2 linked regions of the Bombyx mori genome follow. The protein of the gene in region 2 purifies or fractionates together with the protein of the main gene of each other region. This does not show direct contact. Links are inferred from orthologs where the notes say so. Each region holds a gene or a part of one and is shown on either strand. Other genes may lie near its edges. The genes, in order: YAP65-like protein and WW domain-binding protein 2.

Region 1 (4,628 bases), on a different chromosome or scaffold from region 2:
TGAATTATAGTAATCATGATAAGATACCGCAATATACTACTCATGATGATGTGTTAATTAAAATTTCTTCATACCTTTATTCTATTAAGTAGGTGTGGTCAACAAATTCCTATTTTGTAATATTTCACTTAGCTATTGTAGTCTAAATCGGATCACCCTGCTCTCCGTAATTTTAGGCTCTTCAAGCATCGGTCACCGACCTCGTCAAAATTGTCGATTACAACGAAGAGTTTTAACTAGCCCATGGAAAGAAACCACTGAGTTTCTCGCAAAATCTTCTCAATCGGTCGCGGTTCTGATCCAATGGTAGATTCGGCGAATAGCTGCTTTTGCTAGGGCCAGTGTTAGCAAGCTTTCTCAGGTTGGGCTCATGAGCTCACCTACCAGACCGTGAATAGCTGGAATAGCCTATTGGGCTACCAGTAGTGAGGTAGGGAAAAAATATATTTTTGATAATTATTTGATTGTGCACGACAATTTTCTCCCTGATAAAATTCAATTACCAAGACGTCGATTTGGTTATTCATCAAGACCAGCAAAAACATTACAAGAATATAATGGCTAAGGCGCCAGACTACAGCTCAGCCATTACCGATTATCGATAACAATTATTTCAAATTCACTTGTCTGGCTTTGTGCATTAACACCGACGTCTGTTCAATGAAGCAATTTCAACTATATACTTCATTCACCATTCGCGTCAAAAATAGTATAATGTATTTCACTATTCTTTTATGTACAAGACGTGGATACTTGACGTTTTAACTCTTTATTTTCATTAGAATTAACGCATTTTTGGCAATTGTTTTGTTTTTTACATAAGAGATTTGTTAACAGGATAACAGTCTGTTGACTTTAAAAATTAATTTAACAGTAGGTATTTCTTGTATTCCATGTTAGCTTTAAGACACTAGTTTAATATTGAAAACCAGTTATCGATTCAAACACGCACTTTTTCCATCAGAAATGCTTCATTTCCCTTTGTGGAATTTCAGAGGTTTAATAATATTTAGACTGAAGCAGCATTTGGAGTATATTATATCTTCTTTTTTTATGATTGAGGGAGATCTTCTAAAAGTGATTGTAACCGAACGAATTATGATATAAATCAGATGCTGGCCAGTTTATTGCTCTAACAAGAAGTTAGGACTTTAGCCACGCTAGTCAGTTTCATGAGCTAGCTAATATTTAGAGATAGAACCGACTTTCTCTTCATATGAATCGAAATTTTAAATAGTTGTCCTATTGGCTATTAAGCTAATTCCCTGTCAAATTCAGTAAAGGTATGTAATAATTGATTGGATCGGAGATCTTACACCATACAAGCTCGGTCATTCTGCTTGTTAAAAATTTGCCGAATATAAAAATAGATAATAATTGCATTTTTTTATTTTTCGTCATTTCCTGTTAATAAGGTAGCTAAACCTGATTCTAAGTGCTATATTCACAGGATAGAAGTTCTTCAGATTCTCTAATACAGATAACGAATAGTCACGAAGACTACATGAAAGATTAGACTTTTGCTATCACAAAGGACGCTTCATTGTACCTACCATTCGGGCTATCGATAGTACACGAAAATTCGATCAATACCAACCAAGTGGACAGGATAAAATGCGTTTAGTTCCAAACCTACTTTGTATAGTGCTGTCACAATAACAGTTCTCGTTATAATTACACTCAATTTTATTGTTGACGCTAAAATGAGACTATAACAATACCCTTAAGTAATTTTCAACATAACACTAGACCAAATGTTCCAAATTCAAGTGGAAATATTGTTTTTCTATATGTATTGGTATTTTTATGTAAATGTTGTATCCAGGCATGTATTATGACCAAAGTATATTCGATGTCCTCATTATTATACTGTTTTTTACTGTATTATTTCTGTACACTAATAAATTGATTCATAATTGTATGAACATCATAATAAACGCACTCATGTACAAAGCACGATCACTTGTTCTTTTGAACCATTTTCACCTTATCACAATAATTCTTATCTGTACCAACTGACGGCAGGTACATTTATCCTGATAAGATAATGAATGACGACAATGTTTAGATCTACACATGAATCTTTTTAAATCATCCATTATGTCTTATTTATAAGTTTAAACTTTACTTTACATATTAGTATTTAAGTTATGTAAAATGTTACTTTTAAAAAGTTATTAAATTATTTTAAATTTTAACTTAAAATTTATTTTCAAAGACTAGTAGAAGTATAGGTTAAAATCTATCTCACTTGTTCTACAAAAATAAGTACCAAGTAACTTAATTACAAATCTTATTATATATTGTAATTTTATACTCACTTTTGGAGTGGGAAAGCTGGCGGAAAATATGTTGGGATCATAGCGAGGTACATATATACATAAATCTTAAATTCCCCGTATTCTTATAAAATTTATAAGACATTTAATATTATCAAAATATTCGTACACCGTACAAACTATTAATATATTTTACCACTTACAGGAAACTTGTCGATGGCTAAAAAAATCACATTCATAATAATTAAAGTAACATTAATTTAACAATTTACCATAATTAGGAATCCGCATATTTCGATGAATAGATTTTATTACATTGGTTATTACGATTTCATGCAGTACTTACTTCAAATAATATATTTGTCCTTCTGGAGTACGAGCTTGCTCCCAGCCTGCTGGTAAGGGTCCAAGATCGTCTGGAATATGTGTACCAACATCATAAGATCTTTGTTTCGTGTGTTGATGATGCAACGGTGGTTGTTGACTTTGTTGGCCTGCGGTGTAAGTTTGTTGCAAGCTTGCTGGTGACGAATGTGCCCGTGAATGGGAAACTGTAGAGGTGCCAGTTGCAGACGATGATCCGAATGCCGAATCAGCCGAGTTTTCTCGCGAGTGAGACACTGATGGCGACTTGGAACCGGTCGACGGCGGGTTAAAGAATGACTTGGGAAGCTGTCGCATACGAAGAGGCACCTGTAGCGGTCGCTTTGAGTCCGGCTTGAGCACTGTGTCGAACAACGATTGTAATACAGAGTCTGAATCCTGGTCCACGCGGAGGACCAGGTTCGATTTCTGTTCACCGTCCGAGTTGAGAGCCATTATTTACGTCGGAACGAAGAAATCTCGAAACCGACCTGGCCCACCGCTGTGACACAACACTAGCACGCGACGAGCTGGCGCGGTACCACCTAACGTTCTTACAATATAGCGCTCGCCGCGCAACTGATTCTCGCCCCGCCCGCACCGCGGAATCTCCCTGCCCACGCGCACCCGCCACACCACCCGCACAAACAGCACAGCGTTTGAAGCATCGGGCATGGACCGGTCTTCGAGAACTACGCGACGCGGACTACGCCCCTCCACTCCGTTACCTACTTACTATCTCTTTACCTGCGCTCGGATTTAAAATTTGAATACAACGCGCTTTATTCATAAATTTTATGTACCTATTGATTATAAGTAAGTATCTTCCTCATAACCTTATCTATTCCTTAAATTTATAAAAAAAAAATCTTCTGATGAAGCTTTTCGTCAGGTATTGGCTCCCAATGATTGGTTTATGACTAGACACACTGCTATTGTTTGTATAGGTATTTGGAAATTATTTAGTAAATAGTTTATCGTTTTTTATGCATATACAAACTTACTGTACCTATACATTAAGTCCAACTCCAAATTTTTGAAATGAAAACTTTAAAAATTGATGCATTGTGTGAAATACTGCTACTTAAATAATAATTACTTAATTAGGTATATCTGAAACGTGTAAACCTGTAAATTAAACAATTTAATTTGTTTTTTTTTTACTTTCATTTCAATTTCAAATTTTGTTATAAATTTAAAATAACCTATCTACATATATTTATACCACGACCTGTATTGCATTCACAAAAGAATATTTTTTGTGAGCAATAATACCTATTTGATACAGAAAATGCAACACCATAAAGCTAGTATCGTTTACTGCTTAATACAAACATAATATACTCGGACGTGTATACAATCAAAGTATACACGGTAGCTAATTAGGCCTAAATCTAAAATCGTTTATTTATTTATTTTACCTAGATGCCTTGGTAATTTTTTATTCCAAGAAGAATAGTAAGAATACTCGAAATCAGTATTCTTACATACCTAATTTTTTAATAACTATATTGACTTGGATTGACTTGAATTTGATGGTGACCTAACTTCAATCAACAATAGTAACTAGTACTATTGATGATCGAAGTGACCTAAGAATAAGATTTGTGGAGCATTTTTCAACTAAAATTATTAATTTCCTTGAATTTGGTTGAGTAGATTCAAGGAAGTTACAAGGCAACGTTTATGGTATTGATTAGTCATACTTTTAAACAACTGAAAAAGTTCATTTCTTCAATGTAAACACTCAAATAAATCTTGTCATAACTGGACTTTCTGTATTTAGATAGTTTACGTACGTGCGAATTGTACCTACGGGGGAAAACGATATTCCCATGATGTTAGTCTTGACATCAGCCATGTACCGTACAATGGGGTAAATAGGGACAAAATCGACCTTCAGATTGAATTTTAAAATAGTTCCAATTAAATAGTCACTGCTCAACCAAAGAAATAAGTTGAGTCTTGAACGTATCTAGGTGATAA
Region 2 (4,598 bases):
ATGTACTGAATGACGTACAGAATAAGGTGGCACCCATCCATAATATCCTTGTGGAGGAGGTGCATATGCTGGTGGTGGTGCGGCTTGCCACGGTCCAGTCGGTGGGGTATAAGGAGGTGGCGAAGCACCAGCTGCCATATGACGAGAAGCTAAAAAAAATTATATTTTATTTATTATATATTGCTAAACATAATTTGATATCATATCAAGGATTGCTTTATATAGAAGAAATTGCTCATATGTAGAATCAATAGATAATTAAGTCTTTTTTAATGAATTCTAACAAATCTTATTACTTTTATACACTTTATTGTTTATTTTTTTCTTGCCCATGTAGGCAGACGAGCATACGGCCTACCTGATAGTGAATAAGCAGAGTATTATATACACTTGACATTGGCGAAATCTAAAATGAAACGCCATAAACCTAAGAGATAGATAGATAGAATGGTTAGCGTCGCTCATGGATTTCAGCAATGCCAGGGGCAGAGCCAAACCGCTGTCTACTATAAAATTTTTTGGTATTGTAGCTATAATACAATATTAAAAATTGAGGTAAGGGGCCTTTCAATAACTTTTAGTGATATAGCATGGAAGGTAAGCTCTTGCTTCAATAACAACAACCCAACATCATTTCAAGGTTGTGATGTAAACATACTCTTCAGTAGTCTTCAATCGAATTCAGTAACTGATATAGACTTGTCGCATTCAATTATGATTAGGTAGGCATTACTTTTACTCACCAAGATGAGCAGCTTTTAACATGGCTTGTCCATACTCAATAGCACCTCCTGATTTGAAGGTAAGCTTGAATTTGACCTCACCAATAAAGTTGCCATTAGGTTGGGCACGAACTTTACCTTTTATACAGTTGGCAGAGAACATAGGTTGTTCCACAGTTACCTATAAAACAATATCAATTCACATCGTCATAATCATCAACATTGCCCGAAATACTGCTGAAGACAGGCTTCTATTAAGTCTCCAGCTGTAGGGAACACAGATTCCACTTATTCACACTATTCCCCCTGGTGCATAATATTGCAACAAGCTTTTATATAATATAAATTTTATGTTATTACTATGGACTCATTTGCAGTGAATTTGCAATTTAAAATGGGTTCATAACAATCAAATATTAGCTATTTATCTATATAATTATTTATTAATAGTACTGATTTCTTTTTATTGGCTCAGTTCATGTCAATGAATATATTTAATAACTTTTTAGCCAAGACAGACAAGAGACAGATTTCTGAAAAACCAAACTGCATTCAGCAGTAGTTTATTTAGTCATCATATCCTATGTTGTTCTTCATCTAACAAATAAATTACTTACATCTTGCAATGCAATAAAAGGAAAACTGAATGATCTCATGGCATCTGTATTCTTCTTTGAATTGTAAATCATTCTATGAGTAGTGAGGTACATCCGTCCCTCCTTGATCCCCTTAAACTCTGGTGTATCATTCCCATAGAATTCAACTGACACATTGTCAGAAAACAAGATGATGCTGAAATAGTAAAGTAAATAAATAAAAAAATATCAATATAATGATAATCATTCTTTATCATCTTCTAGATAAAATTGTCAATATTTCATATGCCACTAAAGATAATATCTAGTGTTATATTAATCTGAAGTATCCATTGAATCAACCCTTTTTTCACCAAGAGGCCAGTCGGCCTTATTTGTACAAACAAGAAAGTTTATTGAAAAGTATTTTTTGCAAAATAGTTTCAAAAACGACACATGAGTCATCTATTATCAAAGGTGGCAATCTGTGCATTTGGACAAAAAAATGTTATTGATATGTCAATACAGATTGATTTGAATATAATCGTCTCCTTCAAAGAATATGGTTCAAAACCTGCATTAAATAAAGGTTAATACTTAACCTGTTATTTATCTAGGATGTCGTTCAGAAGAGTTTTGTAACTGCCAATGGAATACAAAGTCAATAATTCGTTTTTCTGATTTACCAATAATTGTCCAAAAGTCACATTGCCGCCTTTGATAATAGTCGACTCACATCAAGAAAATTAAACTTTTCTTTGTTTGTTTGTTTTTTTTGTCATTTAGAAGGCACACTCGCTTGTGAAAATGGTAGTAATGACCAATTTAATTTTTTCTTATATTATAGTTATAAAAACTTAACAGTTACTTACTTATATTGCAATTTTGGAGTCTTTTGAGATTATTAAAAAATTTGGTTAATGAACACAAACAAAAGAACTTTATGGAAGGGTTGGGACAAAATTAACAGATCATGATCTCATATATTGGGACAGAGACAGTGCATAATTAGTTGACTAATAATTTCTAAGCAAGTATGACATATTATAATGTTCCACATCAACGTTTTTACAAAGGTGGAATCTCTATTAACAAGAATATACTATCTAAATATACGTATTTCATCTGGGCATGATGAATTCTGAATTAAACAGACAAGACATGTTACCTCCGTAACTGGAGCCACGCATAAACAGCTTATATGCTAGTAGTTATTAATTTTTTTCATATTTTTCATTATACCATTATTATTATTTTTATAATAATAATTAATGATGTGGCGGCATAGTCTAATATAACTATGAAACATTTGTTTATACTTTAATACCTACAAAGTATTTCTTCGATTAAAGAATGGTACAGTTAAGCGTAGAACATTCTGAAAATATGAAAACAAGATGACTCACCATTCCCCTGCGTGTATCAAAACTCCGTGATCGGCGTGAGCGGTATTTAAAGACATAATGCAATTATTGTGCTGATTATATATAACATTTAACCACTAAGGTTCAAAAAACTTAATTTGAATCGAATCCTGTGTCGAGTGTCTTTATTACGTTATTTACGATCGTAATCAATCGTAATCACCAAATTGTATTAAGCATACATTAAGTGTATAATCTATGTTCAGAGGGACTCTGTTAGACATGCGTAGTTCCGGACCTAAATAGTTCCTGGAACTATGTCCTCATATGGAACTATATCATTCAATCCGAGTTGTCAAAATTAACATGTTCAGACAGTTCCATTTCCATTCCAAGTGTACTGTTATGCAGGAACTACGAACGCGTTGAACATGACGGACATGCGGACATGATTAGAGCATAGGTACCGCGCGGCGCGGAGGCGTGGCGCGGCGAGTCCACCCGAACGAGTCTCGAACCGACACGAGTCCACGTAAAGAGATAAGGCGACATATGGCACGAATACGAGGGAGTGAGATGGAGCGAGTGCATGAAACTGCGTGTGGAGCTCTTTCATATTACATTTTTATTAATATTGAAGTTATGCTCTACGACCTACGTGTTACAGTCGATAGTTGAATAAATTAAAATGTTTTGCTATGGATTTTGACCTTGACCATGCATCATTCCTACGAGCACTTAACCTTAAGTGTTTGTAGACCATTTTTTAGAAAATCATAATTCAAAATTAGAGAATTTTAAAACATTCACCACTTTCGCTATTCGGTATCTCGGTTATGGGAAAAAGGTTGTAAGGCTACAACGAGCTCAATTTAAGTTGTATATCAGAATAACGTGGTATTTTAATTAACAACTGATAGGTTATAGTTTCCGGTGCATCGTACAATACATTGAAAAATAATGAAAGTAGTAGAGTAGTTGAAATTATGACAAAGTAATTAGAGTACATTAATAAATTATGCAACCAGCTGTAACAATGAACCTTAAACTAAAAACCTTACAAAATAATAATTACAATAATAATTACCATAAGCGGCAATCTATTTTTATATAGTGCTTTTAAAAAATTGTATTTTTAATACCTTTTTTGAAAAATATTGTGTAATAAATAATAACTTAATACGTGATTCGCTACACTACAAACAGCTACTAGACTTAACATGTCCGCGGCACTAAACAGCTTCAAACAGCTACTAGACTTAATATGTCCGCGGAACTAAACAGCTACAAACTACAAACAGCTACTAGCCTTAACATGTTCGTGGAACTAAACAGTTCCGCGAACATGTTTACTGGAACTAGTTCCGACACTCAAAAGAACGATGTCATGTTCAATCCAGTTCCGAACATGATTAGCGCACGTCTAGACTCTGTTAAACTTTTTTTTTAAGAGATTTTTATGACCTGGTAACTGAGACCTTTAAGTCATGTTTTATTTTTATTTATATTATTCATATTTTTATGAAAAATGATATTAAGGACTGAAATGAAATGAAGATGATTAATTTGAGACACTAATCAATTGGGATGAAATTAAATGAAATGAATTGAGATGATATAGGATGAATTAAAATCTCAGTAAAATTATGGTCATTTACTAAGATTTTTTCAGTGGACTTTTTGGAGGATCCCGAGAAGTTACGTCCAGCGGCTTTGTTTCATTTTCCCATATTTGTGTACTTTCACAGATACTAAACAGTTAATAAACCACCGTTATTACCTACGAATAAATAATAATTAATAATTAATAAAATAATTATTTTATTATATTTATTACTATATTTATTACTCGGAACAAATTTCAAAAAAAAAATGGCCCCACTTGAAACCAAAACGGCTTAAGAAACAAAAACCAATCACAAACGAGGTTGGAAATA

The links.
Region 1: the proteins of WW domain-binding protein 2 (region 2) and YAP65-like protein purify together in Homo sapiens (affinity purification with mass spectrometry; 7 studies listed by BioGRID and IntAct, with this or other methods). This does not show direct contact. The link is inferred for Bombyx mori from reciprocal best matches to the Homo sapiens genes WBP2 and YAP1.

What each region holds. Positions count from the first base shown.
Region 1 is NC_085111.1:12,030,466-12,035,093, forward strand, and holds the start of YAP65-like protein, read right to left. Parts: upstream 3,099-4,628; coding exon 2,626-3,098; intron 1-2,625. UniProt on the Homo sapiens protein: Transcriptional regulator with dual roles as a coactivator and corepressor. Critical downstream regulatory target in the Hippo signaling pathway, crucial for organ size control and tumor suppression by restricting proliferation and promoting apoptosis.
Region 2 is NC_085117.1:14,735,261-14,739,858, forward strand, and holds the start of WW domain-binding protein 2, read right to left. Parts: upstream 2,940-4,598; 5' UTR 2,760-2,939; coding exon 2,704-2,759; intron 1,515-2,703; coding exon 1,340-1,514; intron 904-1,339; coding exon 744-903; intron 150-743; coding exon 19-149; intron 1-18. UniProt on the Homo sapiens protein: Acts as a transcriptional coactivator of estrogen and progesterone receptors (ESR1 and PGR) upon hormone activation. In presence of estrogen, binds to ESR1-responsive promoters. Synergizes with YAP1 to enhance PGR activity.